2 linked regions of the Astyanax mexicanus genome follow. The protein of the gene in region 1 purifies or fractionates together with the protein of each later gene. This does not show direct contact. Links are inferred from orthologs where the notes say so. Each region holds a gene or a part of one and is shown on either strand. Other genes may lie near its edges.

Region 1 (15,639 bases):
TGAATGAGAAGATGTGTCCAAACTTTTGACTGGTACTGTATATAAAGGGGTCTTTGAGTGAAACGTCTAAAACTAAATTATTTGTTTTAAAAACACAGAATTGTACATAGCTCTGATCTTACAATAATATATTCTGTTATCTCATAAACTGATAAAAAAAATCTCAAAATAAGAAAGACATAAAAATTGTGGGGTTTAAGTTAAATCTCTTTATAAGAACAACTGATAATGACCCAGCTAACAAGTTTTTGTTAGTACCAAAAAAATCTGAATGTTACAGTTAACTGTCTTAGAATGTTCAATCGGTCTAGTTTTCTGGATGTTCTTAGAACTTTTTTAACATATTTGAACGTTCTGGTAACGTCTGTGCAACGGCACTTGCGTCAATGTTTAGACTTTTTTGTTGCTGTTTTGGGAATTTTACCTTTAACGTTGCCATAACATTATTATTTGTCTAGCTGGGAATGTAATGAGATCAATGTTTTAATAACATTGTGATACAAACCTTTATTTTGTTACACATTACAGGCTAACCTTTCTTGAACCTTTTAGCTGTGGAGGACAGATGTTTGTAAAATATTTTTCAAAAAAATGATTCCTGTACAAAAACAAAATTTATTAAAATAGCAAGGGAGAATACAAAATGCATAGCAAGCATAGAAGCCCAGTATTTAGAGTTACCATTACAATAGATTTAGATTCTAATAATCATAATCATAGTCATTTAAGAGACTTTTCTTATTTACCATGACAAGGACCAGTAAAGCACACAAAAATGGACAAATAGTTTCGCACTAGATCTGTAGAGCTGTTTAGATGTTTTTTTCCCACATCATAATATACAGGGGTTGGACAATAAAACAGAAACACCTGTCATTTTAGTGTGGGAGGTTTCATTGCTGAATTGGAGCAGCCTGGTGGCCAATCTTCATTAATTGCACATTATTGCACCAGTAAAAGCAGAGTGTGAGGGTTCAATTAGCAGGGTATAAGAGCACAGTTTTGCTCAAAATATTGCAATGCACACAACATTATGGGTGACATATCAAAAGAGGACAAACTATGGGTACACGTCTTGCTGGTGCATCTCTGACCAAGACAGCAAGTCTTTGTGATGTATCAAGAGCCACGGTATCCAGGGTAATGTCAGCATACCACCAAGAAGGACCAACCACATCCAACAGGATTAACTGTGGACGCAGGAGGAAGCTGTCTGAAAGGGATGTTCGGGTGCTAACCCGGATTGTATCCAAAAAACATAAAACCACGGCTGAACAAATCACGGCAGATTTCAATGTGCACCTCAATGTGGTTTACAAACAAAAACATACTAACTTTCCTCAAAAGCCTTTGGCTATACTGTGTATGTAAAATACATATGTGTAGGCTTAGGCTAGAACATACTGTAAAGCTGGATATTCTGCACACAAGAAAAATGCTGCTCCAGAACATGTACTTGGTGTACTCTCTCCTATATACTCAATATCTCCTATTTACAGTACCTAGGGTACTCTCTCCTTTCCTCCATTGTGCTCAACATCACTTTGCACTTTAGAGCAAAATCTAGCGAGAAGGTTTCTGCATTAATGCATTACATTCACATGCTTAAAAGGGGGAATAACAGGTCATCCACAACCATTGCAAATTACAATGCAGTCTGAAAGCGGGCTGCTCTGAACAGAGTGTACTGCAGAGACACACTGTCTCCAACCATTCTAATTGTTCAGCTGTCAGTCAAAAGAATTTCAAAACAAACCAAAGCGTGTGTGGAGCTGCCAATCTCAGAGCTCTCAAATAAACCACTGGTACATCCTGGACAACTTCAAACAGCCAGACATATCTGCCCATTCCCAGCTTTCCTTTACACATCCAGCATTCTTTTAAACTGGTGTTGCTTGAAAAAAAAAATCATTTCAATGACCTTCTCAGTACATTAGCCAGGATGTTCCCGCACGTTCACGAGTGTACAGGTACAGTCTTAGTGCTCTTGTTATGGTGTTACAAAGACAGGACACCAGGGGAGGTTTATGTTGGTATTGCACACACACAGCTCTGCAGTTTAGCGGTGCTGAAGTAGTGACAGATCAGTCATGGAGGTCTCCAGTCTAACAGATCTGATCTGCCCTGAAATAGCCCTCACACTTTCTCTCTTTCTTTGTGTTTTTGCAGATTTGTATGTGTGAACAGTATGCTGACCAAAGGACAACTTTTAATATTCTTACACCAAATGATTTTAAGCAATTTCACTGTTACAAACAAATTTCCAGTGTCAGGATAAAATCATAAAAGTCTTGCTAGAATTAAGTTGCGGTCCTGTCATCTCAATTGTTCAGCGTAAGGTGGTTAGGATTGAAGGTCCAAATTAATCTTGTCCTCGTCCTTGTAAAAAGGTTTCCCTTGTGGTAGTGGAGGTGAGTGTTAGGTAGTGGACAGCGGGATCAAAAAAAAAGTCTGTGGTGATCCAAGGTAATGGTGTTTTGTTTTTCTTTTTTCAATATTGTGTATACATTTTATAAGGTGTTAGCTGATGTTCTATCTTTTTGAGCATTATAATTGGGGGGGAGAAAGCGGGGTTCGCCACAGAAAGAAGAGCCAAAATACCTTCAGGTCAATTCCAACACCAAAGTGGCGTTTTCTGTACAAAAAGAAATAAAACTGGTCAAATCTGACCATAAACACAGGACTCCACACAAGCAAATACTAGCCCTTTTAATCAGCAGTGCTTTAGACAAAATTAATCCCTGCCCACAAGTGTCTCTACCTGCCCTCATATACCTCTAGCTCCGCCCCTTCCTCAATTGGGCCATACCATTACTACAGGGTTATGTAGGGTTACTTAAAGGTATACACACACAAATATATACAAACACACACAAATATACATCAATGTCGACATTATTTACACCACACTTACATACAGATTTTTGGAAATTTCACTAGATGGTAAGTATTAACATATTTTTGTACTAACTTTTCTCTCCCCCAGGTGTTCCAATAAGAAGTCCCCCCCATCTTGTAGTACATACGGAGCACCATGATACTACAAGAAGGGGAGTTAAGATGGCCACCATTCCCCAGAAAGACCCCCAAGGTACAAAATGAGAGGAAGTGGTATTGGCCAGACTGAGGGTGGGGCACAGTAGGCTGAACAGCACTCTTGTTAGAATGAACAGGCATGTTGATGGTACCTGTGAATAATGTATGGAAAGCCCAGAAACTGTAGAGCATGTCCTAATTCACTGTAGGAAATTCCAGCAAGAGAGACAGACTCTGATTGAACAAGTAGAGGCCAATGACACAGCATTCAGTCTAAAAAATATCTTACAAAGAAATATTGGAAAGATTTTATATTGTTTTATTTACTTTTCTGTAAGAGACAGGTCTAATTAGACGCATTTCATTTCTTAGAAGAGGCAGCTACTGTTCCACACTCCAGTCAAGCGGTGGCGGTAATACACCAAAGTCGTTGTCAACCGCCATTCACGAGGAAAAGAAGAATAAGAAGAAAGACCCTCAAAGGACAACAACCAGGTAAGTATATTTTTTAGTGGTGTCAATGGATTCAAAAAAATTATCAGATTAATCACAACAAAATTCTGTGATTAACTGCGATTAAACGCATTTATTTTTCTTCTGATGTATATTTTTATAGTGGATATTTAAATGTAAATCAAAGAAAGAACGCAATTATATGTATATTGATAATGTCAATCAAAATAATAGTATATACTTGTATGTTTGAGGGGAGATAAAATCAACGTAGGGTGCTGAAATAAAGAATGCATAATAAACTGGACTGTAAAATTGGTTCAGAGGATTTCTGAATTTGAACTTAATTTGCACTGTAAGAGCGCTCGTTCAGCCAGACAAGAGATCAGTGCGTTGGGTGGGGCAGATTATGGCAGAAGTAGGGGTCAAGCATTTTAAGTTTCTAATAAGCATTTATAAAACGTCATGATAGGCAATGTAAGGCTTGTAATTGGGATCCACATATTCTTAATCTTTTCTTTATAAATCTTCCTATCCGCTTGATCCATTTCATGGTTGCAGTAAAATTAAGGTGAGAAAAGAGCCCAGACCCAGACAACCCTGTTCCCAGCTCATTCTACTACCACTTCCTTCCTCTACCACATCCCCAGCATTCCCTTGTGTCTCATAGCAGGTGGTCAGACTGAATACACCTCCACTAGAAATTGACTAGGGATCCTTTTCAGATTCCTAATCCGCTTCAACTGACTCCCCTCAAAACAAAGGAGCAGCAACTCTACACCTAGCTTCCCTCATCACAAAAAGTAAGACCAGCTTTGGGATGTAGATGTGCGTTCATTTTGGTCACTTGCATGCACAAATCCACAATCTGTTTTTAATCAGTACATAGGCTTCCTTACCATGATTAAGAGCTTCACATAATTAAGTGTATTCACCACTAGGGCCCAACACAGTGAGTGCTTCTCCCTTTTCAAATCACTTGTGATCAAGGCTCTTCTTTTGGGCCCATGTGTGCTTTTTCTGTAGGTACACTTGATCAAGTGTGAAAGCTGCTTTCGAGCCCAGGATCGGCTAAAAATGGCTTTTGAAGACAATGCTAAGCATTTACACTACTAAAATACAACATTTATTAAAAAGACACTGTTTTAAAATCAATAATGGAGAATGGCAATAATTCTAAAGAGAAGATTCTGAGTACAGTACCATTTAGTACTGTACACTTTGACATTTTTGCTAGCACATGATTAATAAATTTAGCATCATGATGTTAAGTCACTACATTACACATCTTGCACTCCTACCTTATTGAAAGGACAAATATTTCAATTTGCAAGCCAGGTTTATAAGCCCATCAGAAATACACAGGCACAACTGAGGTTCCAGCATTACTTTATTTTTACGTAGACATTGTCTGATCATAGGCTTTGGAATAAAACCGTAATGATAACAGCATATACATGCAAAGCATAAGTTATACAAAGCTGTACAAGTCAATGTATAAGGGGCAACGAAATAATTTCAATCAAACCTTAGAAAAATACATTGAGGTAGAAAAGGAGAAACTAATTATTTTAAAAATAAAAAAATAAAATAAAATAAATATCCCACACTACTCAACTTCTCATTCTCTTTTAATAATGGCACTTTCCAATCTAGATTTAAGGTCAGAGCAAAAGACCTCTGGTCTAAAATTACAGGCTGTGGCAAATGTCAAGGCTGTAGCATCAACAGGGCTCCACTGCATCCAAGGGCTCAGAAGGCAGATTCTGGTAAAGAAAAGAAATGGATTATATAGACAAAGCATCAGATTTATCTTGCACCAAAATTCAGTAATAGTCTACTGGGGTTCAACAGATTTGACATTTAAGAACTTTAAGTTTCAGACTTTCCCCCACTCACCCTAAAGTCTGTAACAGAATCAATGACCACTAGATACAGAAACTTAGAGCATGAACAGATTAAACTTTAAAATTAAACTTCGTTTAATTCCTTTAAAAAGTTAATTTGCTTACCTGACTAACTTGACCTGGTCACCTACTGCAACAGCCACAATCCACATGTCTTTCCAGCATCTGTAAATAAAGGTGGTTTAGAGGAATTCAAACCTGAGAAAATTGGCAATGTATTTAAGAAAACTTTGTTTCTCCCGACAGGATCCGAAGCAAGGAATATTAAGCCTTCACTTCAGGTTTTTGAGAGAGTTCTTCTACCCCCCTGTGTTAATCATTTAGGACATAATTGGTCTTAAATGGGCAATAAAGGGGATAAACAAGTATAAGCAACTTTAAAGCTCAATTTCTAAAAGGACTTACCAGCTTTGTGCAAGACACCTCCCATTTCAGACAGGGGCTACATCTGCATACCTCTTATCTGCAAACATAAGGCAATCACATTAGAATGGTCACTGGTAATAATCTTTGATTTTTAATGCGTATAAAAACATGTTTCTCCCGACAGGATCCGAAGCAAGGAATATTAAGCCTTCACTTCAGGTTTTTGAGAGAATTAGTCTACCCCCCTGTGTTATCCATTTAAGACATGGCCAGTCCTAAATGGGCAATAAAGGGGATAATTGTGTGCATGTTTCCAAAACATTACTAAATTTGATTAGTCTTGTTGCTTTCTCTCTTAAGCAGTTAATTTTACCTACTAAGTGCTGGGTTCCAACTACAAACCAGGACAGCTTTCCTGTGTAAACGACCATATCAAATTTGAAAAACTACCTCACATGCAGAGAAGTAAGAATGACTCAGATTAAAATGTCATTTAAAGGCAAAAACTAAGACTCACCTGAGGTTTTGTGTAGAGGGCATTATTCCAGCCTGAATCCACACTTGCAAGCCACTTCTGAAAAGATGACAAAAAAAGAAAAGAAAAAAAGAAAAAGAAATCACATTTAAAATCAGCTACTGTTAGAAGATTAACTATTAAAACTTTTAGGTCAATTATTAGACATGTTTCTCCCGACAGGATCCACAGCAAGGACTATAACCTGTGCCATAGGTTTTTGAGAGATTTTTTTTTTTACCCCTAGTATATTGATCATTAAGGACATGCATGGTCTTAAATGAGCTCCACTGAGGGGGTATGTATCTCGATTTTAAATAAATAAAAATAAAAACACCCTAACCTTTGCAGTTACCATTGTAGTGCTCATTGAAAGCTTCAAAAACCACTTAACCAGGTGGTTCAGAACTCCAACCTAGAATATCAGAAAGGACAGGCATTGAAGTAACATGAAGACTGCGAACACAAATGACAAAACCAAGATAATTATATTTATAAATATAATTATAACTATTGTCAGTAGACAATAGTTTACAGTTTCTGTGGAATTAATAAAAACGTAAATCTTGTAGTAAGCTAACTACCTGTACCACATGGGTAAGCTAACCGCTAGGTAGCTAATAAAGTAGGCCCAACCACACAACTCCCACGTGTTCATGGGGTTTAAAAAAATTACAGCCTAGAATATAAAACTTTTCCAACGCACTTACATGCAGCCAATACAAGTTTAAGTAACAATAACTTAGTTAAGTTAAGTTAACTAGTTAGCTAACAAGATACTCTAACGATAATCTAACCAGAAGTATTTAGCAGTGCTAACTACCAGAGCTAGCAGCACATTTCTGACTTCTCTAGTCAACAAATATATCCATATGAAACCTAACCGCAGCTGATTTAATGATGCAGATCTGATAACAGGTTTAACATCTAAACACAGCATGAATGTTGGTATTCTAAACTCTCACCTTCCAAACACGCCCTAAGACACAGCTCCATCTGCTCTCAGCTGCAGAACAGAAAGACCAGAGTCAGGCTCGAGGAGGGAGAAACGAGCAGAGAGGAGAGAGAGGGGGATTATGGGACTTTTAAAGACACAGGCACGCGCTGGATCCACTACACACATACAGAGGACTCCTCTGAATAACATATGTTATGTTAGCTAAACTAACTGTTCACATCCTTGATGAACAACACATATTTAATATAATTAGCTTACTGTCATGTTTATTTTACACGCTTGTTTAAAGTAAAGTAATTAAAATAAAAAGTAGATAAATGTAATTACATTTTTTTTATTCTTAAAAGTAGACGTTAAAATTACGTTTCCTTTTTTGTATTCTAAATATAAGTATAATTCGATAATAAACAGAAATTAATATGTAGTTTATTTGACACATTTTAAAAACACAATAATTTCCTGAATGAATATTCTCTCATTGGCTACAGTGTACAACACTGGGCGTTTGCGGAACTGGATCCATGGCTCTCATTGGTGGAACAGCATGTCAATCACAGTAAAGCCAGCCCTGGTTACCCTAACTTCAAAGCGGCTCGCCGTCAGAGTGGGCGGGGCGTGGGCGGGGCGTCCTGACTGGCTAGCTGGCTAGTTAACCTAGGTTACCTGCCAAGAGCAGTGATGTTTACTGCAGATTTCTCTCAGAATTTCAAAATAACGGCTCGATTTTAGCGACTAAAATGAATTGAGCTTTGTTTTGGAGATGTTTGTCTTTTAGACGGGGGGTTTGTTTGGCTCTGAGTGGAGAAAAACACTGCTCTAAGGGGGTAACGTTATAATATCAGTGTGTTGTGAGTCAGGGCTCGTCAGGCACTGCGGTTGGCCTCTCCTGGTCCAGCTGGGCTGCGGATCATCTACAGCTCTCAGCTCTGCAGCTTCTCCAGTGATGTTTGTTTTATGAAGATGTCGGCGAGGGGAACCCTGTGAACTAAATGACTGTCAGAAACATCGCCTCCATCTGTAATATGGTGAGTACACGGAGCTCTGCACCCATTGATAGGTTAGCTAACCTAGCATGAATGCTAGTCACCGGCTAGCTGGCTAGCTGAGCGCTTTGCCTGGTTGCAGGGATGCTGATGTCGAGGCTCGAGTTGATCCGGGGAGCGGGAGCAAGTGCAGGGGCTGTCCGTCCAGCTAACATGATAACGTGCAGATTCCCTGCTGCGTAGGTTTCTCTATTAGGACAAATGTAGGTTAGGAGAGGTTAATAAGGAGTTGCTGGCTTGGTTGGGCCATTAATATAACCTAGCTAGCGAGCTAACCTAGGTCAGGTAGTGTTAAACTAGAATGGATTAAACTTTATTGTTAAATGCAGCTAGAATCTAACCAGAAGTGCAGTATACAGCTCTGGAAAAATAAGAGACCACTTAAAAATGATGAAAACCTCTGGAATATAATCAAGAGAAAGATGGGTGATCACAAGCCATTAACCCAAGCTGAACTGCTAAATTTTTTGCACTAGGAGTGACATAAAATTATCCAAAAGCAGTGTGTAAGACTGGTGGAGGAGAACATGCCAAGATATATAAAAGCTGTTAAGCTGTGAAAACCAGGGTTACTATTATATCAAAAATTGATTTCTGAATTCTTAAAATTTTATGAATATAAACTTATTTTCTTTGCATTATTTGAGGTCTGAAAGCTCTGCATCTTTGTCAGTGGTTTATAGAATAAAACAGCAATGTTCAATGTACTCAAACGTATACCTATAAATGGCAAAATCATAGAAAAACTGATACAGAAATTGAAGTGGTCTCTTATTTTTTTCCAGAGCTGTAAATATATATAGAGAGAGAAATGCAGTATGCATGTACTAGGAGCAGCAATGCAAATGCAAATAAGGATATACACTATAAGAGCAGTGCAAATAGATGGTAATATGCAAAATAGAAAAATTACATCTGCAGTAGATGTTAACTTGGCTAGCTAGATATCCTAGCTTTACTCCCACAGACCTGAATCCTTAACTTTAATGGAAGTTGTATGAGCTAGTTCACAACTACAGTGACATATAAGGTTAGTTAGCAAATGTGGAAATCCAAAAGGCAGTTTTTGCTGTCAAAGAAGGAGGAGAATGATGACTGTCTTGAGAAATCCAGCTCAAAACCAGTTTTTGTTGCTGGTAGTTGGTTTCAGATTGTCTAAGCGGTCAATGGGGGTTAAGGTGGTTGAAAAGCTGGACATCCAGGCGAAAACATGACCAGCCTGCTGTTGATTTTTGCATTTGGGCCGTCCTTGGATATGCAGGCTAGTCATTCTGGTTGGGCATGCTGATCATCCATAATGGTCAAGCTTGATCATACTGGTTGTCTAACCTGGTCAGGTCCTGCTTATAGATCAGCTAAACCATAGTACTTAAACTAAAACTAAGCCTATGCTGCTGAAAACCAGTTTAACAAGCTTGACCTATGGAGTCTGTGGTCATGCATGTTATGCATGGGCAGACATGAAGAGCCACATTGACATCCATTGAAACTAGGGATCCAAATATTGAGTAATTGTTTGTAAATGCACCACACTACAGAAAGTGCTGGGACTAAAAGGCAAAGGGGCGGGATATTTCAAACAGTTACATTTGCTTAAGCTACTAAGCCTTAGTTTATATTCACGTTTTATCGGTTATTTTTTAATTTCCTATGGAAACTTGTGTAATGTTAAGGTAGAGACTGGAAAACAGGGTGACATTCACAAGTGCACAGACTTGAACATGGGAGATAAAACTTAGTGAGAGGGTGGCAGAAATCGGTGGCTAATCGACTATTTGGAAAAAAAAAGATTATCAGATTAGTAAGATAACAAAATATTCATTATTTGCAGCAATAAGTTGAAACTCACATTTGAATTTGAGAATTTCATTAGGATTACCCGTGTTTCTTTTTCATACTGTAGCTAGCAAACTGTGACTGTCATTAAGAACTCCAGACCAGACAGTGGACTAGCTAGTTACACACCTGAACATCTCTGAGGTGTACAAGTCACACCAATGTGATAAACTTAGCTATACCTATATGCTCTATGCAGTAAGCTTGGATTGTTTTCATAGTAAACAGTTTCTTCGCAAACCAGCCTTACGGGGCCATCACAGGTGCTGCAAAGCAGACATGTCAACATCAGAAACTCCCAATATAATCCAGAGTTTTTTAAATGAATAATAGAAAAGTCAGACAGGGCTCAGGTCAGTGCTCAGTCATTGGCGCTGTCTGATCGTTAAGCTGTCTGGCAGTTATTAAACTCAACTGATCTGAGTGATGTGTGGCGACCTGCTGTGCACAGGCTCAGGTGAAGTGCCAGAGCAAGTTAAGCAGCGAGCCAAGCTGACAGCCTGCAGCAAGCAGAGAGAGTTCTTAATCTGTACACATTGCCAGACCATTTGACTGCAAAGCCTTTTTTTCATGTTTTTTTCTTTTTCAGTAAAGTATTTCTCAAGTTTCACTAGATGAGAAGACTGCTTCCTGAATCTTTTCCTGAAAATCCATCTTGTAGGGCAGTTCAGTTCCTGTTCAAAGGAAGCAAGCCTCATCATCAGATTCTCTGCTTACATATGTATGATCAAATATCTTTTTCACATTTATCTATTTTGATAAATGTTTCAGGAATGTAGAAGCAATTCTGCAGGACAGGAATACTATATGATTAAAAAAAAACTGTATCACTATATTTACTAAAGCATCACTGCATTTTGTGATGTTTTGATCTGGTCAGCTTGTAAAGAGCATCACACAGTAGCAAACGTAACCTTAATCAGGCAGATGATTTCCAGATATGAAAGTTTATTTAGTTTGTGCATTTTGTAGATTTGCTCTATCAAAGCAAACTTTATATTTGTGGATCTAAGGATTAAAATACACATAAAGAGCTTAAAACAAACCTCTTGCCAAGAATTACACCAATATGTTATGACTATTATATTACACATTAATTGAAAACTGAATAGCAGTGTCACTTTATTCTCATACATCATACATCAGCACTGTGTGATGATTTCTTGCAAACATGGTGCTGGTAGCATTAAACGGAGGACGTTGTTTGTCAGCAATACTTTATTGTTATTGTTTTGTTTTTTTTTTACAGATATTCCTTAGTTTTAATGATAGTTCTGTAAATTCTGGCACTGTCTGTTTTTCAGTGTTCTAAAAAATAAACTCATATTTTGCATAATGCAGTACTTATGTTTCAGTGTAGACTTTTGGCAGTTCTTCTTGTCTTTTCGAGTGCAACACAGTGTGAAACCCAGAATATTTGCCCAGTATTACAGTCCTTACTCAGACAGGCAGATGGTGAGTGCAGGTAATGTGTCTGTGATGGCGGTGAATAGGATATGTTTAATGCATAATTTAATGGAATGTATGGTAGCATCCATGCTTTGCACAGACCAGACTGCCCTTTAATGTTGCTCATGGAACTATCGGCTGCCACTTGTTCGTTTATGAGAGATGTGGCTGCTTTATGCAGTGCATCAGTGTTTACAGCTACAGTGATGGGTGCTGTGTCCTGAATGGTAATGCTTATAAAGCTGGGGCTGTCTGTATCTTTAAAACCCATATTGTAATTTCAGGCCTCAATGAGCTTAAAGCCATTTAATGTTTGTGTAACACTGCTGAGTGCTGTAGTCTTTTAGTTTTTAATTGAAAATCTAATTGAGATATCTAACATGATCAGGCCTGGCCTGGGGTCTCGTTAAAGTATGTGTATCACTATGTGTTTGTGTTCTCCTCAAGTATTTCCTGATAGGATTATTTCCTGGACAGGGATTAATCTTACACTATAAGCGTTCACTATATTCTTTTTTCAATGGAGAATCTCCAGAGATGGAGAATCTTTTTAGATTCAAAAACCTTTGTAGTCCAAACTTAGGTATAATCTCTGTCTGGGAAACTGCTCTCATTGGTTTGGCTTCACATAGTATGTAATGACCTTTTTATTACTGGTAACGCCAAAGCAAATATGTAATCATAAACATAACCTGAAGCTGGAGCTGTGTATCAGATTAGCTTTTTTCTAGACATGTGTGTAATGTCACTGTCTAATGTTGTCTTAATGTTGCCTTTGACTTAATTTGCTTGCTGATAAAGTGTTAGATTTCGAGTTTTATCAACACCCCACAATATAACAAACATATATCATTTATTCCCTATTGTGCAGCCCTGTTTCTGCAGCTGAAGCAGCAACAGAAAGAAAGAAAGTCCAGCATTCTGGTTCTTGTAGACAAAAAGTCTACACACACATAAACTGCTACAAAACCAATGCATACCAGCGTGTCCATTCATAGCCATTCCACAATGATACTGTTCTATTTCTAAGCCTTTGAACTGGTGCTACCTCAATAGCCCTTGTATGAGTATAACATGCCTCCTACTGTAGGCAAAGATCATTTACAGTCCTAATGTCTCTGCTGCACAATGCAATACTTATATACCTTTGAGTCTGTGGCCACTTAATGTCTGCTAAGGTTGAAATGGAAGCCTTGCTGGAATTATATTCCCTCTCAGAGAGAATAAAAGCTGGATTGCTTTCTCAGGTCATTACAGACACACAAAGCACAGTGTGGCTATTTGACATCAATCACCTGTCGGTCATCTCCATAGCCTTTCCTGGGCCAAGACTTTGTCCGATAAAGAATTAATCGGTTGTACTGGGTCCATAAGTGGATGTAGCACTCATGACTGAGGCAATTGTTGCAGTTATTACGTTTCCATTCTCATAGCCTGCATTTCAGAAAGATTTTCAGATATACAAGAGTATGTCAATATTATAACAGAGATTTTTTTTTTAACATTTTAACACAACTAACTAGAAAAGTGAAATTCCTGTAAGAAAGAGAATGGTTGCCCAGAATGGTGTTCCTAAGGGGTTGCTATGGTGTTGCTGAGTGCTTGCTATAGTATTCCAGAAGATTGCAGCAGTGGTGCTGCTACAATGCTGCTAAATGGTTTCCAAGTGATTGCAGTGGTCTACTGTAAGTGGTGGCTCAGCTTGTTGCTAGTTGGTTTTTGAGGTGTTGACAAGTAGTTGCTATAGCATCTCAGGTGGTTGCTGTGGTAAATATAAGTGGATGCTAGATGGATGCTAGTGTGGCAAGGTGATTCCTATGGTATGTCAGACAGTTTCTGTGATATTAGTTAGTGGTTGTGAAGTTGTTACTGTGGTGTCTCAGATCATTGCCAAGGTGTTTTCAAGCGGTAGCTGTGATACCCAATATTAAGTGTTAGGGGTTACAAAAGTATTTGTATCACTGATACATTTAAAAGGTTCCAAAAAGTTGGCGCCTCATTCATTCCTATTGAACAAAATGTGTGAAACTGCATTGGTACATGGATTACGTCCTTCCAGCAGGGTCCGTACGGTCATAAAAAACGTAGATGGAATTTGAAAATAGCAATTTCCAGGCCTGGGTAAGTTTTGGAAAAATAAAAATACCCAGAAAGTTTTTTGCTTCCATTTATCGACTGAGAAAAGCTATTTGGAGCTAACAAATACATCAGCTCAGTTAGTTCAGTAAAAGGCTATAACCCTACACAATTAAGCTCTCAGGATTTAACACACATTTTATTATTATTAAAGATTGCGTCCACATTTATAATTATAGTTTTAGTTGAGTTTTGTCTGCACTGATGTTTTAAAAATCATATGTTCATGAGAATTTGCCGTGAAAACAGAAAAAAGTCATGAAAAAAAATTATGGAAATGTATTGGTCACAAAGTGTATGAACCCTGTTCCAATAAAAAGCTGTGTACAACAACATAGCATGGTTAAAATGGCAATGTGCTTGAAACAGTCAGGCTAGGCACATGTTTATTGATGTAGTTTGCTAAAGGGACAGAGTGTTTTATTTGGCTCTTTGATACGGACTGTTTTCGCCCTGGTACAGATTTAGTCAAGACACTGTTAAAACCCATAGATAAACTGAGAACAAAAAACATTTTCAGTAAAAGCAGAAACTGAATCACCAGGCTAGAGGAAAATGACCAATTAAGCAATTACACAGTTTGACAACACATGCTTCCTGGCACTCGGGCTGATCCATCTTATTTACCCATCCATTTATCCATCCATTTAATCTTGTGCAGTCTTGTCAGAACACGTGTAAACATATGATGTTCCCATATAATTATGAACTTATATCAGCCCGTGTTTACCGGCCTTTCATTTTTGATTGTTGCTGTACACTTAGTATGTAGATTTGAAGGAGAGAACAGATATTTAAATGCTAATATTTGCATCTAGATGTGTCAAGCAGCTTACTATATGGTGTATTTAGTTTGAATACACCTAATAATCTAAAAGTTGTAGAATATGTAAGTAACATGTTTTTATGTTGCCCATGTGTGCCCATCAGTGAAATGAAGAACATTTAGTTTGAGCCCTGGGTTTTGTCTGTACGTTAGTTATTCAGAAGCATTGAACCAAAATATAGCAGAGAGTTTTTTTTCTGTTTATCTTTAGCAGTACATAAAGTAAAAAAATGCTTCAGTATTTAGTTTTAATTACTTTGCAGTGTCCTGCAAAAACCTTTACAGAACAGGAGAAAACCTGTTTATTTTTTCCGGAAGGTAAAGCCTTTAATATTACCTGTATTTTTGATTGCTATTAAATAAGGTCTGACTGTTATCTTAGTCACAGATCTGTTCAGGTCATGCCACAGCATGTTAATTATGGTTAAGGTTAGGACTCCATGACACAAAAATTTTTTTTTCTGTCATTTTTTAATTGAGTTGTGATTTGCATCATTGTCTTGTTGCATCACCCAGCATCTCTTTAGATTGCGGTCTGCTGTGCTTAAAACTGTAATATCCTAAATGGTTTTATACATTTGTTACATTGTTTCCTTAATGATTACAAGGCATCCACCTCCAGGGAGCAGTAAGGGTTAAGGGCCTTGCTCATAGGGCCCCTCATAGGGGGATAGCTAACTAAGTTAAGTAAAGCTAAACTAAGTAAACAAAACTGTAATAAAAAAAGCCTTTCTTGGATGTTAATCTACACATATTTCTTTCTTGAAAACTGTTTATTTGGGTGAGTGATTTTGTTTATCTACAGTAAGCTTAGATTCCCAAATTTCTCTAGCACCCTTAGCATTGTTGGCTAACCGCTAGCAGTTAGTGTCTAATGCCGCCTGACAGCACTACACTGAGGAACCTTGAGCGTTTTGGTAAGCCAGGATGATATTAGCTTGCGGTTCCTCCCACGTAGCTTGTTTTAACATGGTAACCATGCAGACTACAGTGTGATATACTCGCTTCTGACAGCAAAATGCTAGCTCGGTTAGCGCAGGTAATGCTAATACTGCTCCAGTCTCAGTGCTGGAGAACTAAACTGAAACTCCTGCATAACGCTGTACTTTAGCAGA
Region 2 (15,538 bases), on another chromosome or scaffold:
ATATATATTTTTTGTTAGCCAACTTATCCTCGAAGCTCATGTAAGTCTCTTGGCTGATTGACTTGGCTGATTGACTGAGAGGAAATATGCTTTTCTATCAAATATCTCTCTCTTTCTCTCTCTGATTAATCATAATTCTCTTACTTCTTCTAGCCAACAATGTTCAGAGTGGCTGTGTGTTCCTGTGCGGCGCGCTGGAGTCCAGTGTGGTTCTCCTGCAGTGGTATGAGCCCATGCACAAGTTCATGCTGATAAAGGTCAGTAGCATTTCCGCTTTTAGCTTCAATAGACTCCCACCCCCTTACACATCCTATCATACTAAATGACTTGACTTGTGAGTTAATGAATTGCTGCATTGGATGTGTGATGTTGTTGAAAAGAACGGTTCAAAAGATGATTTTAAATATCTTAATTTGCACCAAAATTTTAGCCTAGATGGATCCAAAACATATCTGCAACTTTAGGAACATAGGACATATTTGACACCTTGAAACCTTGACATTTTTGTGCTTTGTTCTTTTGACCAGTGTCTTATTTACGCCTTAAATGTCTTACACCTCCTACGCACATCCACGCTCACATGGGCACTCATTACCTTTTAACCCTACAGCTCACTAATATGTGGGTCATTGTGAGCTGATCCCACATGAGAGCACCAGTGTCGAAGCTCTGAATACTGGTTTCCAGCATTTGTATTTGAAATAGATTATAATACACTCTGAAGAAATGTTCTTTAAAATAGAGATCCTTTGTGGTATTACTGTGGCTTGCAAAAGTATTCATACCCATTGAACTTATTCAAATTCTATCACATTACAGTCACTAACTGAATGTATTCTATTGAGATTTAAAGTGACCAACACAAAGAAGCACATGATTGTGAAGTGGAAGAAAAATAATTTCTAAATTATAATAAAATAAAAAGTATGATTTGCAAACTTATTCAGCCCCCTTTACTCTGAAACCGCTAAATAAAATCCAGTGCAATCAATTGACTTAATTAGTTAACAGAAAAACTATAAGATGTGCACTCCACAAATCTGGCCTTTATGGAAGAGTGGCAATAAAAAAAGCATTGTGAAAGAAAGACATAAGAAGTGCTGTTTGTAGAGGACACAGTAAACATGTGGAAGAAGATGCTGTAGTCAGATGGAACCAAAGTTAAACCACTTGGCCTTGCTGCTTTGTGTAGGTCTATCACATAAAACCTCAATAAAATACAATTTTAAGTTTGTGGTCGTAAGGTGACAAAATGTGAAAAAGTTAATGAATATGAATACTTTTGCAAGCCACTGTATGCCACACCCTGAATCACTAAGATCACATTTTCCTTCATACTGATTGACCATTGATGAGTGCATGAGCATAGCAACGGTTGCTCTCCAGCTTATTCTGGTGGTTTAGAGACTCATTATCTGAACTTATCGTTTTTCTGAAATGATTGGTTGTGGTTGCCCTGGAAACTTCTTGAACCAGGAGCTCAAAAGTGGCAACACATTTGTACCTTGTCACCCGTTTTAGCCCTTATCACCCACCAAGTCTCACCACACACTGACTTCTCTATTCATTTTATCCTCTCCTCCCCCATATGACCTCTGTTTACTTCACCACCTACAGACAACTCAAACTTGTTTCAACAAGAAATCGAACACAGCTTAATGCGAGCCTATATCCTCACAAACTGTCCATAAACCATGTGCAGGGCTTCAGTGATAGATTTAATAGACTTGTTCATGTGGTTTCTGACACTTTATGAGTCACTGTTATTTAGAAACATGGACTAAAGTAACAATGATGTTGCTTAAAGTAGAGAGCTAGCACGCTAACACCGCTTCCTGACCAGATCTCTTTTGTCCTAACCAACAGCACTTTGATTTTCCACTTCCCAACCCATTGCGAGTGTTTGAGATGGTGGTGGTGCCAGAGCAGGAGTACCCGATGGTGTGTATCGGAGTTAACAGGGGCCAGAGCCCCTCACAGCCTGTTCACATGGAGAACATCAACCTCAACTCCAACACATCCTGGTTTACCAACACTGGTCTGGGTAAATAATAATAGCAAACTACTGTGAAGCTCTAATATCATTAATATTAATTTCCTAAACTTTTATTATCAATAAAGTATCTACAGTGTTGCTTGGAAGTTTGTGAATCCTTAAGAAATATTCTATAATTCTGCATAAATATGACCTAAAACATCATCAGTAGTTCTAAAATGATCCAATATTACATAGTAAAGTATGTGAACCTTTAGGATTTGCAGTCAGTTTAAATATGAAATTAGAGTCAGGTGTTTTTAATCAATGGGAAGATCAGGTGTGAGTGGGTCGAGCCTGTTTTATTTAAAGAACAGGGATGTCTCAAAGTCTGCTATTCACACACGTTTGTGGAAGTATATCATGGCATGAACAAGGGAGATTCGTTGATGCTCATCAGGCTGGAAAAATGTTACAAAACCATCTCTAGAGATGATCAGACAGATTAACGTGTACAAATGGAAGAAATTCAAGACATTTGTTACCCTCCCCAGGAGTGGTCAACCAACAAAGATCACTCAAAGAGCAAGTCGTGTAATAGTTGAGAAGGTCAAAGGACCCCAGGGCAACTTCTTAGCAACTGAAGGCCTCATCACATTGGCTAATATGAATATTCATGAGTCTGCCATCAGAAGAACACTGAACAAAAATGGTGTGCATGGATGGATTGCAAGGAAAAAGCACTAACCTCCAAAAAGAACATTGCTGCTCGTCTGCAGTTTGCAAAAAATCACGTGAACAAGCCACAAGGCTATTGGAAGAAGGTTTTGTGGAAGGATGAGATCAAAATATAACATTTTGGTTATAATTAAAAGGTTTATGTTCGGAGGAAGGAGAATACTTAATTCGAGCATAAGAACTCTAACCCATCTCTGGTGGTAGTATCGTGGTTTAGGTCTGTTTTGCTGCATCTGGGCCAGCTTTCATTGATGGAACAAGTAATTCTGAATCATATTAATCATATCTGTCCATGAACTGAATCTCAAGAGAAGGTGGGTCATGCAGCAAGACAATAACCCTAAGACGCCCAATCCATTTGATCAAAAATGGTTTAAGAAGGATATAGTATATGTTTTGGAATGGTCAAGTCAAAGTCTTGATCCAGTGGAAATGTTGTGGAAGAAGCTGAAGCAAGCAGTTAATAAAAGGAAACCCACCAACATCCAAGAGATGAAGCTGTTCTGTATGGAAGAATGAGCTAAAATTCCTCCAAGCGGAAACATTTAGGGGCTGGAGGGTGGGGTGTCACACCAGATACTGAAAGCAAATGTTCACATACTTTTGACTTTCAAAAGTATGTAATATTGGATTATTTTTGACAATAAATGAATGACCAAGTATGTTATTTTGTCTTATTTTTTTAACTGGGTTCATTAATTCATGCATCCATCAGAATGAAACTCTAATAACATGTATATACAGTTCTAAAACATGACTGAAGTGATCTGGGTCTCTGGGAATATTTACAAACATGTATAAGGAACAGACATGTTAAATGATGAATTGTTTGTGTGTGTGTGTGTGTGTGTGTGTGTTTCAGAGGCTCAAAGTGCAGAGAAAGTTCAGCTTAATCAGTTGGACAGCAACACACTCCTTGTTCTCATTGAGAGTAAGTAGAACATATTTGTAGTGACCACTTTGTACATTGTGCTTCCTCTTACTGGACACTTTATTAGAAACACTGTTTTGTACTTTGTTTGAACAGACACAGTACACATGGTGAACCTCGAGGGGGCGATAAAGAGTCACAAGAAACTGCACATGGAGATCAGCTTTCCTTTAGACGTGGAGTCAGTAGGTAAGTCATCACCGTAAAAGCATTAAGGGATTACACTGGATTTATATTACAAAATTATTCAAACATAAACACATTAATTTTCATCCTATATGGATAGAAATCATTTTTTACTTTCACTAATTTAGTAACAGTCTAGCCTTTAGCTCCTCCCCCCATAATGATTATATTATAATGATTTTATTTGTAATTTTTCAGATCAAACAAACTGTAATATCGGAGACAGATAACCTGAGTAAATACAATTTCTTAAGGGAAAAAGCAATTCCCACCAATTTGGCCCTATGTGAAAAAGTAATTAACTGTTATTAAACGCATTTTTGAAAAACTGATTTAAATTTCACTAGCCACAACCAGGCCTGATTAATGCCAGTCTACCGAAATTACACCAAAAGGGCATGGACAACTCACCCAGGAGGTTCCAAAAGAACCCATAACAACATCTAAAGAACTGCAGACCTCAACTGCCACCGTTAATATTAGTGTTAATGATTAAAAAATAAGAAAGAGGTTTCCATAGAGTTTCAGGCAAAAAACACTGCTGACCTAAAAAAACACACACAAAAAAAACACAAAGACATTTGCCAAAAAAAACATATTGATGATCCTTATATATCAATCTATCTATCTTTATGAATATACAGGAAAATATTTTACTTATGTATCATTATTTTAAAAATATTTGACTGAAACTAACTGAAAGTTAAAATCTGTAAACTCAGCCTTGTCTGTTTCGTAAACCACATTAACTTGCCAAAACTTTGGTAGACGCCAAGATTTTCTGTAAAACATTAATATTATAACAAAATAAATATGTTGTTATTTTAAAAAATCTACCACTGTCCTAAAGTGCAAATTTTGTGCATATAACTGCAAACATAAACAGTCATACAAAAATACCTTTAAAGCTAGGTAAATCAAAAGAAAAAAGGAACTCCACTGGTGCTCCACTGACTGAATACAACCTAGATAGAAGTTAACAATCAGATGTTTTTTGCTATCTTGGCACAGTGCATACACCGTGCTTGTTGCGTGGACATGCAGCATCACAAACCCAACATTTCCATCGATAATAAACAGAATACAACATAAAGTAACATTGCTGATGAGTCGCCTAAAGATTACTAAAATAATGCCTTAACTGGTCTTGTTACATTGAAGGCTCTTAAGGGGGAACCAGAGCCACACTTTGCTAGTGCTGATGTTTGTTTTTAGGGCTTGCATTAATAACACTATTTATTGAACTTTATTCAGTCATGAATTTCTCTTTTTCTAGTATATTTCGATGACACGTTGTTGGCTATATGGAAACATGGCTGGCAGAGGAGGGGAGAGGTCCTCTCAGAAATCCTACAGGAGATTACAGAACCTCGGAAAACCTTCCGCCTCATTGGCTCAGACAGGTACACACACATGCACATAGTAATCACAGACTCACCACAAATTCTGTACTGTAAGAGAGATTTGGACACAAACTAGTGTAGACTGCCAAATGTAGACTACCAAAAGTACAACTTCCAAACATGGTGGAGGTAGTTTCACCATCTACAACTCACAGTAAGAGCTAGCCAGGAAAAAGAACAACCTCAAACATGGTGGAGGTAGTTTCACACACTGTCACTTACTGTCACATATTCAAAGGAAACAATGTAAAACCATATATATTACAGCTGCTTTACTTCCAACATTATAGAAGTGTATTGAATTAGTGCTGTTATAATTGTTATACATAATTCTGTCATTGGTGTAAATGTATCTTTTGATCTTTCCATAGGCTGGTTGTCTTAGAGACACGGCAGAGCGAAGACCAATCAGGAATGTGTAATCTGTACATCCTGGAGATCGCTGAGAACTTTGTTCTCATTCCCTGAACACACACACGCTCAAACATATACACACAGGCATCATACATATGTGCACATACACACCATTTTCCTACCCAGCAACTGTGGACTGACACTGACATCAAACAGAAGCCAGGTAGCTGTGTGTGCACCACAAACACTGGACATTTCTGCTGACTCCACCCACACACACATTATTTGTGTGTATAATCTTCCTCTTTGCTTTGTTGTGAGTGTGTTTGGCAATTAAAACTCTTTCTGGATGGTTCACTGCGTAGGGAATTTCAGTCAACATCTGCAGCACACAACCGATTGTTCACAGAAAGCCACCAACGAAAAGTATTCAAAGTGTCAATTTCCAGGTTGTTTTTTTATGGGTGTTAAATAGTTATTTACAGAAAAGTTCATTTGAAAAACAGTCTATTTATAGTCCAAATGTATAGTATCAGTCAAAGGTTTGGACACAAATACCTTTATGAGGTAGGCAGCTGAAATGACTGTTCAGCTGTGCTGAACTCGTCAAGAGTTAATTACTCTTGAGAGCATCAGTTGTAAAGAGGTAGAGTTGGTATACAGTGAATAGCTCTATTTGAGTAATGTTCTAATCCATATTATCGCAAGAACTACTCAACTAAGTGAAGAAAAAAAATACTTTAAGAAATGAAGGTTAGTCAACCCAAAACATTTTAGGAACTTTGAAAGTATCCTCAAGTGCAGTTGCAAAGACTATTAAAAATGTTATGATGAAACTGGCTCTCATCAGGGCCACCCCAGGAAAGGAGGAGCAAGAGTTACCTCTGTTGCACAGGATAAGTTAATCAGAGTTTCCAGCCTCAGAAACAGAAACAAGTTAACAGCACCCCAGATAAAATAACCTAAATGCTTCACAGAGTATTTTGGTTTGTTTAACACTTTTAAGTTACTACATGATTCCTTATGTTTTCCTTCCGACTTCAGTATTTGTTTACAATGTAGGAAAACAAATACAATTAAAACATTGAATAAGAAGATGTGTCCAAACTTTTGACTAGTACTGTATATCCTTTCATCACCAATAGATTTTAGGCCCAAATCTGTGGTAATAATTATTCAGGCATAAGACAGTGTATTTATTATCTGGTGCAGTATATTTGAGAGAGTTTTAAAATGTCTGGTTCAGATACGGTTTAAAAAGTTTTTAAATGTCTGGTTCAGATACGTTTTTGAATGACTTTATTTACATCTTAGTAACTTTAATAAAGAGACATTTAACAAAAAAAATAATGTAAATCCTTGTGAAGAAGTATAGTCTCTTAACATGTGTTTGCCTGTATTTGAGGTAACATGTTAAACAGTTCCTGCTACTAAGTACTGTTACTACAGAAGTGCTCTGCATCCTCCATGAATGAATCTGTCAGGTTGAGGTGTTTCCATTAAGATTATCCACAGGATAATTCTAGAAGTCCCCACACAGTGACTGAATCTGCAGGAGTGAATCTGTTGTGTGTTGAAGAATCCCTGCACACCTGAGACAGGGACTGTTTCAGCACTCACCTGTTTTACACCTGAGTCCATCTGAAGATAAGATCTAAGGAGCTTACAGTCTGTGCCAGTTTTACATTTCCTGAGATGAAAAGAGTGAGATGATGTTATAATGTGTTTTATTGATAATAAACATACTTGTTTTGTACATTCTCTTTAACTGCTTTGAATTATTTAGTGTCAAATGTGAATGTTTTAGCATATACTGCTAGGAATTATGTGTACAATAAATTATTCCAATTAGGCCTATTATAATTCAATTAAGTATTCTGTAACTACTGTTTTTTCATTATATACTATGTATATACTGTATATATTTAGGTATCCATAATTAAGTGGTCAGTAACCATTCTAAAAAATGACAAATGTATGAATTATTATGGTAGTTTAAATGAGTACTGTGAATTATTAAGGACCCAACATGGGTACAACATAACTACTAAGAATCAATGAATTAGTGTGTATGACAATCTAAAAGTATGTACTCCAATGTACTACAAATTCAGCATATTAAAAAACTAACATTTTTGTTAACATTTTTGTTGGGGGAGCAGTAGCCAATCCAAGGCAGGATATACCCTTGACAAGCCACCAATTCATCACAGGTATTTAGTAACCATTCTGAAAAATATTTTAAATATTTATTAATTATTCAGTATCCAGTATGAGTTAAAAATGTATTGCTGCTTAAGGCATTAGTTTACTTAAATACTAAAAAACAGACTTTTACTGCAGGAATGTAACAAAATAACATTTAATTCTGGACCATACTGGTACCATACTACATGGTGATGTTGTGACTAGCTTGTTAGCTTTTAGCTAAAATGTTAGACTGCATAGCTTTTGTTTAAAATATAGTTATAGATTGTATACTGTATTATACTGTCTCTGATTCTGTAGTATGAATGCCTTGAATATGAACAGCTTGTCCTGATTAAATGAATAAAATAATTTTCTGATGATCTGGTGCTGGAGCAGGGAAAATACGGCAAGATTAAATTTTCATAACCATCTTTTTCCGGATCTTGATTTTAGTAAGCATGGAATGCGCTAAAACAGCCAGAACACTGTAACATGATTTAAAAAACACACTGGTGAATCAGAAACTTAACATAGCATTAGAAGATTAGCATTTTTTAAACTTGCCGAGACTGAGTAAGGCTTGGTGCAGATCTAGTCGTGTTTGAAGGGCGTGACAAAAAAATAAAAAGCCCATCCATTTTATGACTTTGGCGTGTACATGGGACTAAAACTGAAGATATAAATGGATGCAAAAGTTAATGACGTTTATGAATGGACGTGTGTTTTTAAACTTTGTGTTTGTGCCCTCACTCACAACATTTTACTTTGTCTTCAACATAAAATACAGTTCATCCCATTGTGAGGACACCCATAGAGCACTACACCACTTTTAATTTACTAACCTGTGAATTAACTAGATAATAAAAGCTAAGGTTCTTTGAATCAACATTCATTTTTCCTTCTCTAATGCATTGAAGGAATGGTGATCTAAAACATCAGAATTTAATAATTCGTCACTTATAACTTGATTCAATGTTGATTCAATTTTATGGTTTTAAATGTATGGTTTGAGTAAAATTTGACTTCCACACTTTAAAGAAAACATATGGAAATATTTAATAAACAAAAAAAGTGTTAATCAGAGTAAAAACAGAATATGTTTTATTTTCTAGACTCTTCAAAATAGCACCTCTTGCTTAGATGACAGCTTTGCTCATCTTAGCATTTTCTCAGTCAGCTTTATGAGGTTGAGTCATCTGGAATAGTTTCAGTTAACAGCTGTGCTGAACTTGTCAAGAGTTAATTACTTGAATTTCTTGCTCTCTTAGTGTGTTTGAGAGCATCTGTTGTAAAGTTGTGAAGAGATAGAGTTGGTATACAGTGAATAGCCATATTTGAGTAATGCTCTAATCCATCAACCAAGTAAAGAAAAAATACTTTAAGAAATGAAGGTCAGTCAATCCAAAACCTTTTAAAAATATGATCATCAAAAACGTCATGATGACACTGACTCTCATCAGGACCGCCCCAGGAAAGAAAGAGCAAGAGGCAAAGAGCAAAGAGCTCTTTGGCACAGCATATTCATCAGAGTTACAGCATCCCATCCATATAAGAGCCACCTAAATGCGGCATGTGGTATTTTGGTTTGTTTAATACTTTTTTTCTCTTAACACTTATTGTTTCTTTACAATAGGAAAAAAAAAATATTGGAGTGTAAAAGAGCCTCAATACTTTAAAGCCTTTTAATGAATGTTGACTTGATGTCAGAATTTAAACTGTGCCTGATGATGCCTATTAGGCAATGTTAAATAAAGGTTATTTTTCTTTTATCCCGTTTATAGATGTAATGCAACCAAAAATGTATTTTTATGTATGCTTTAAATGTTATTTGCTATCAATCAGGGTTAATGTATCCTCCTAGGGTTCTGAATGGTGTAGTGAGAGAATGGTGGTGGGGTGGGTGTATCTCTCTCCCTGTCTCTCTCTCTCTCTCTTTCACACACACACACACACACGCGCCTCACACATGACATCATGGCTGCGTTAGGGCCGGATCTGCTCGCTCTCGGGGAATGAGAGGCAGTGATTCTGCTGGTGTTTTCCTCTTATTTGCGTTTTAACCCCGGGCAGCTCCTCCACAAACCTCCAGCGACCCAAATGCGTCCGGCTGCGGCTCTCCGCGTCCGCCGCATCCCACCCTCTCATGCTCCGCGTCTGGCTGTAGTCTCCTCGCTCCACTGTTTCCAGGTCGGGCAGTCGGCGTTTCCTTGCGCTAAAGATGGCCGGCGATGGAGGCGCTCTGAAGGATATCAATGAGATCAAGTCCCAATTCAGGACCAGGGAGGGTTTCTACAAGCTGCTGACGCTGTCCGACTCCCAGCAGCGCGGCGGCTTACCGCGGGGGCCCGGGGGGGCGGGCACGGCGGCGGCCCCAGGCGCTCCGGGCACGGTGGGCGGCGTTGGGCTGGTGCAGGGCCCCGGTGCTGGGGCTGCTGGAGCTGCCGGAGCGGGGGCCGGGGGCAGCTCCTCTCCGGCTGGCTTTCTTCCTCCGGTGCGGGTCTCCATGGTCAAACTGCAGCCGGAGGACCCGAGCGAGGAGTCCGAGCGAGTGTGCTTCAACATCGGCAGGGAACTTTACTTCTACACCTACACCAACATCAAAAAGGTGCGGAGGGGAAGGGTGGGGGACGTAGCTAGCTACTGATTCAGGCTCAAATAGAGCTCATAGGGGTTGAACGTGGGTTCTGAGGTGCTTCTGTGTAGCTTCAATCCAGATGGGGCCCTTGTTTAACCCCCTTGTGGTCCCATTGCTGACCCTGGTGGACACCCATATGTCTGGCTCACGTGGGGGAAATGTTGTCTAGTTAGGTGCGTTCCATATGATGTAACTTGGACCCAGTTGGGCTTTCCAAATGGTTCACATTGCTACAGCTCACCTTGATCTCACTTGGGACCCATCTAACCAGGCCTTGTGTGCAGTGTAGCTATGTAGCTGTAGTCTATAACTGACCCTCACATAGGTGGAACGTGGTCTATCTAGGTTAGGTTAGATGGGTTCTGGGTGGGTTTATAACCAGTAAACATTACATGTTTTGTAAACAGGACCCAGTTGGGGTGTCAAGTGGGCTTCTTTGCTACCTTGATCTCATATGGAACCCATTTAACCAGGTCGTGTGTGCAGTGTATCTGTAACCCAGATTGGGCTCAGTATATGCCCTGGTAGACACCCAAATATCTGGCTCACATAGTTTGCATATTGTCATTCTAGCTGTGTGTTCCAGGTGGTATGAGTAGGTTTATTGTAGCTTGTTTCCTAGCTACATGTATTGTAACTTGGACCCAGTTGGGCTTTCCAGTGGCTTTTTTTTTTTTGCTACAGTCCATCCTAATGTCACATGGGTCCCATTTAGCCAGGCCCTTTGACAGTGTAGCTAGCATCTGGTACCATAACTGACCCTGGTGGGTACCCATATGAGAGGCTCACATGGGTAAAAGATTATAGGTGTGTTATACCCATGGGTTCCATGGGTTTTGGCTAGGTTTATAGTTAGTGAATTAGCTGGGTTACATTTGTTATAACTGAGACATCTAAGAACTAACAAGGCCCTTTGTGCAGTGTAACCATTACCCAGATGGTGTCAATGTTTAACACCACTTTCTGGTTCCCACAGGCATGTTTGCTAGCTAAGTATATGAGACAGCTTGCAGCACGTTTTGAAATTCACAAGTCTTAGTTATTTTACTATTTTACTACTTTTTTGAGTATTTGGGTCTAATCTAACCTACCTTTCTTCAGTGTAAATTGGATGTGTTTTGCATTTAGACGTTCACCCTATGTTTCTCCTTTTATATTTGAACACATTTTAAGCTGTTTTCTTCAAAAATACAATGAAATGTCTCTAATAAAGCGCATAGATGTTAACATAGCCTCTATTAAGTGCCCAGTTGTACAGCAGCAACCTGATCTTGTGGTGTTTAGCTAGTTATCTATCTAACCTATCTATCTGTTCCTCACAAATCCAAGGCAGATATGTTAGCTAGTTAGCCAGCTAGCTACGTTAGCTAGCTAGCTTGCTAACGCTAATAGCCCAGTCAGTTCACCTTAAGCTAAGCTACGCTAAGCTTTATAAATGCAGCCTTTCCCCGCTGATAAACCTGACATGGCGTTTATCCTCCTGTTTCTTCTTTATATTTGAACACACATTTCCTCAAATATACAATAACATATTACCAATAAAGCGCAGAAAAGTTAAAATATTGCAATATTATGGTATTTAGCTAGTTAGCTACTCACCGTTCCTCACAAATCCAAGTGAGAGATGTTAGCTAGCTTGCTAAGCGCTGCTAACGCTAGTAGCACAGTCAGGCCACCTTAAGATAAACTAGGCTTAATACACGCCGATTTTAACCATTTGTAAACCTGACATGCGTGAAATTAATTCGTGCTTTATATCTAATGACCGTAATTAACGCTTTAAAGACGGAATACACGCTTCTACTATATAAGAAAACCACTGAAAACTGTATAAAACAGAGGCTAACTAGTTTAGCTTAGCGTTGCCTAGCAGCGGCATTTGCACTTTAGCTAAGCGTTAGCTTAGTATAGTCAAGACAGGGCAGATCTGCACAGCCACCAAACAAACAGACGTTTGCAAGTGCCTAAATATTAAATATATTTATTTTACTTTGATGTTTACTGCGTATTATTTTATTAGTTCGGTTTTTGGTGTAAACTAACCTACCAAGATTCAGTATTGTTATCTAGCTCAATATGTAGCTAACTAGCTAAGCTGCAAAGAAGACATTCCAATACACATAATACACGACTAACCACAGTCTTACCAAAATATAACTAACTATTATATTACTGTTGTTTTCACATTTCTATATGCAATTTCAGTTAAATGCATGTTTGTTGCGTTTAATATGTGCTAAAAGGGTCAATTTTGAGGAAGATGTCCTTCAACTGCAAACACATCAATAAAGCAAAATAGCTGGAAGGCATTTTATGTGTCAGTCACACCGCTGATCAAAATTTATCTCTCTGACTGCACATATTACTGGGAAAACTTAATAAACAATTTTTGCTTATAAGATTTCAATAATATCAGTACAAGCCAGGCATTAGTAGACAGTTTTGAGTTCATAGCCTTTCAACTGGCATACACAGTGAAAATAAAGTGGTGAAAACTCAAAACTTCAAGGCAATTTACTGTACTAGATTGTTTTGAGGCAGACTCCTTTTGAAAGAAAGAAAAAACAGTTTTGAAGAAAACCACCAGTTGTGGAAACTAGAAAAGATTAAGATTATTCATTTTTCATATGTATAAAAAATATCTGTCCTTTCGGATCAACTAAAACAATTGTGTTCATAACACTACATTTTGTTTTTGTGTTAATTTAAGTTAGGAACTGGCCATTTGTGTTTATTACTTACCTATCTTACTGACAGTCAGTTGGTAATGCAGATGCGACCAGCTGTACCCAGCCACATTATAGTTATACTCAGCCACACAAAACAGAGCAACTTTCTTTAACTCTTCTTTTTCTTCAACACTGAGGCCACGCTGTTAGTCACAATGTTAGTTGAGAATTATTTTGCTATAGTTTACGGTGCATTAAAGTATGGTTTGTTCAGCTGACCCTAACTTTGATGATCCTGTTGAGGGTTGAGTCTGTAATCCAATCTATAGTTCTGCAATATTCTCCCAAAGCAGAGGCACAACCCAGAATCTGATTTATACATTATTTTCAGTCATCCTTTTACCTATATCCCTTTCTTGTTCTTGACTCACATTTTTAACACCAATTAGGATTTTAAAAATGACACAGTCCAAAACCAGGTACAAAACAAAAGCTGGTCTGGAGCTGGATTGTTTTGATCATGTTTAGTAGTTCTTGCGTCCAACCAAAACATAATTGGTATGGTTAACATAATGAAGTTTTCACTTAAATATCAGCATCTTGTGTGTTAGGAGATAATTATTCCAAGTGAGTAAATATTTGACTGATGTTTCAACCCTGTAATTCAGTTAATGCATTGTTGAATCTGCATTGTTTAAATATCTGCAATCTGCATTTTTTATGTGCATTAGTCACATTTAATGCACCAGAAAGTTTTAAAGTTTTAAGTTTAAAGCATCCAGAAAGTTTTTTTATGTGATTGTCTTTTTAAGCCCAGTCTAGATGATTTGTTGGCAGTCATCAGTAAGATAAGATTTCCGGGTATTTGAACGGAAAGCCTTGGGTATAGTAAAAAATCAGTTGGCTTTTAAGAAACCAAAGTCTGGATTTGGGTAGAAATAAAAGATATGCTTTGCCCTAACATTGTCATTTTTGCACATACAATATGACAAGGGCATAAAAATGGCACCTGTCCACTGTAAAATTTTTTGGTAAGATTACATTTTTTTTTTTATCTAGGTTTTTAACATTGGACTTTGGTTTATTTATTCAGTGCTATTCATATTTGTTCAATATTTTCAATATCTAATGCAACTTTCTATCCTCCTCATCTCTCTTTTTCTCTCTTTGTCTCCCACTTTTTCTCTTTCTAGGCAGTGGACCTTAGTAAGCCTATCGATAAGCGCATATATAAAGGGACACAGCCAACTTGCCATGATTTTAATCAGTATTCAGCCACTGCAGACAGTGTGGCTCTTATTGTGGGCTTCTCTGCTGGGCAGGTGCAGTACCTGGACCCTATCAAGAAGGAAACCAGCAAACTTTTTAATGAGGAGGTATGTGTTTTATACAACTTAAAATGGAAAGCAATTACGTTTTCACGGAATATAAGAGGTTTAAGTACTGCCCTCAAATCTTATGCCTCTTTATTTCTTTTTTGCATTTCAGAGGTTAATTGACAAAACTAAAGTGACATGTCTAAAGTGGTTGCCTAAATCAGAAAACTTGTTTCTGGCCTCCCATGCCAGTGGCCATCTCTACCTCTACAATGTGGAGCACCCATGTGGCACTACAGCGCCGCAGTATTCACTACTCCGGCAGGGTGAGGGGTTTGCTGTCTATGCCTGCAAGACCAAGACACCTCGAAACCCTTTACTGCGCTGGGCCGTGGGAGAAGGCGGTCTAAATGAGTTTGCGTTTTCGCCTGATGGTGTGCACGTAGCCTGCGTTGGCCAGGACGGCTGCCTCCGTGTCTTCCACTTCGACTCTATGGAGCTACAAGGTGTCATGAAGAGTTACTTCGGTGGCCTGCTCTGTGTCTCCTGGAGTCCGGATGGGAAATACCTGGCTACAGGCGGCGAGGATGACCTGGTCACTGTTTGGTCGTTTGCAGAAAGTCGAGTGGTGGCGCGAGGTCACGGCCATAAGTCGTGGGTCAACGTTGTGGCTTTTGACCCCTTTACCACCAGCTTAGAAGAAGACGAACCAATGGAACTCAGCGGCAGTGAAGAGGACCTCCACCAGGGGCCACTAAACTTTGGCCGTGTGCGTACTAGCAGCACCCTATCGCGTCTGTCTCGCCATAGCTCCAAAGGCACTCCGTCCGTGTCGTACCGTTTTGGATCCGTCGGACAGGACACACAGTTTTGCTTGTGGGATCTTACGGACGACGTTCTCTATCCGCGACTGCCGCTGTCCCGCGCACTCACGAACACCTTCGGCCCAAACATGCCACCTTCCATCAGTGGAGGGATGAACAGCACAAGTGGAAGTGGAGTAGTTGAAGGTCACCATCACCCCACCAACCCCCACCAGCCCCCGACGCTGCCCCTGCCTCTACCTCGATCGCTCTCCCGCTCAAACTCCCTCCCTCACCCTGCTGTTGCGAACACCTCCAAAGGGCAGGGGACAACAGAG

What was found.
Region 2: the proteins of usp46 (region 1) and zmp:0000000529 purify together in Homo sapiens (affinity purification with mass spectrometry; 5 studies listed by BioGRID and IntAct, counting the BioPlex papers as one, with this or other methods). This does not show direct contact. The link is inferred for Astyanax mexicanus from reciprocal best matches to the Homo sapiens genes USP46 and DMWD.

The regions. Positions count from the first base shown.
Region 1 is NC_064408.1:65,039,679-65,055,317, forward strand, and holds the start of usp46 (ubiquitin carboxyl-terminal hydrolase 46), read left to right. Parts: upstream 1-7,861; 5' UTR 7,862-8,223; coding exon 8,224-8,259; intron 8,260-15,639. UniProt on the Homo sapiens protein: Deubiquitinating enzyme that plays a role in behavior, possibly by regulating GABA action. May act by mediating the deubiquitination of GAD1/GAD67.
Region 2 is NC_064425.1:7,359,363-7,374,900, reverse strand, and holds the start of zmp:0000000529 (WD repeat-containing protein 20), read left to right. Parts: upstream 1-9,716; 5' UTR 9,717-9,995; coding exon 9,996-10,382; intron 10,383-14,274; coding exon 14,275-14,457; intron 14,458-14,569; coding exon 14,570-15,538. Other genes in the region: mitogen-activated protein kinase kinase kinase kinase 5-like, read left to right, coding at 154-257, 1,867-2,044, 3,576-3,644, 3,741-3,833, 5,107-5,233, 5,605-5,701. UniProt on the Homo sapiens protein: Regulator of the deubiquitinating USP12/DMWD/WDR48 complex. Functions as a cofactor that promotes USP12 enzymatic activity.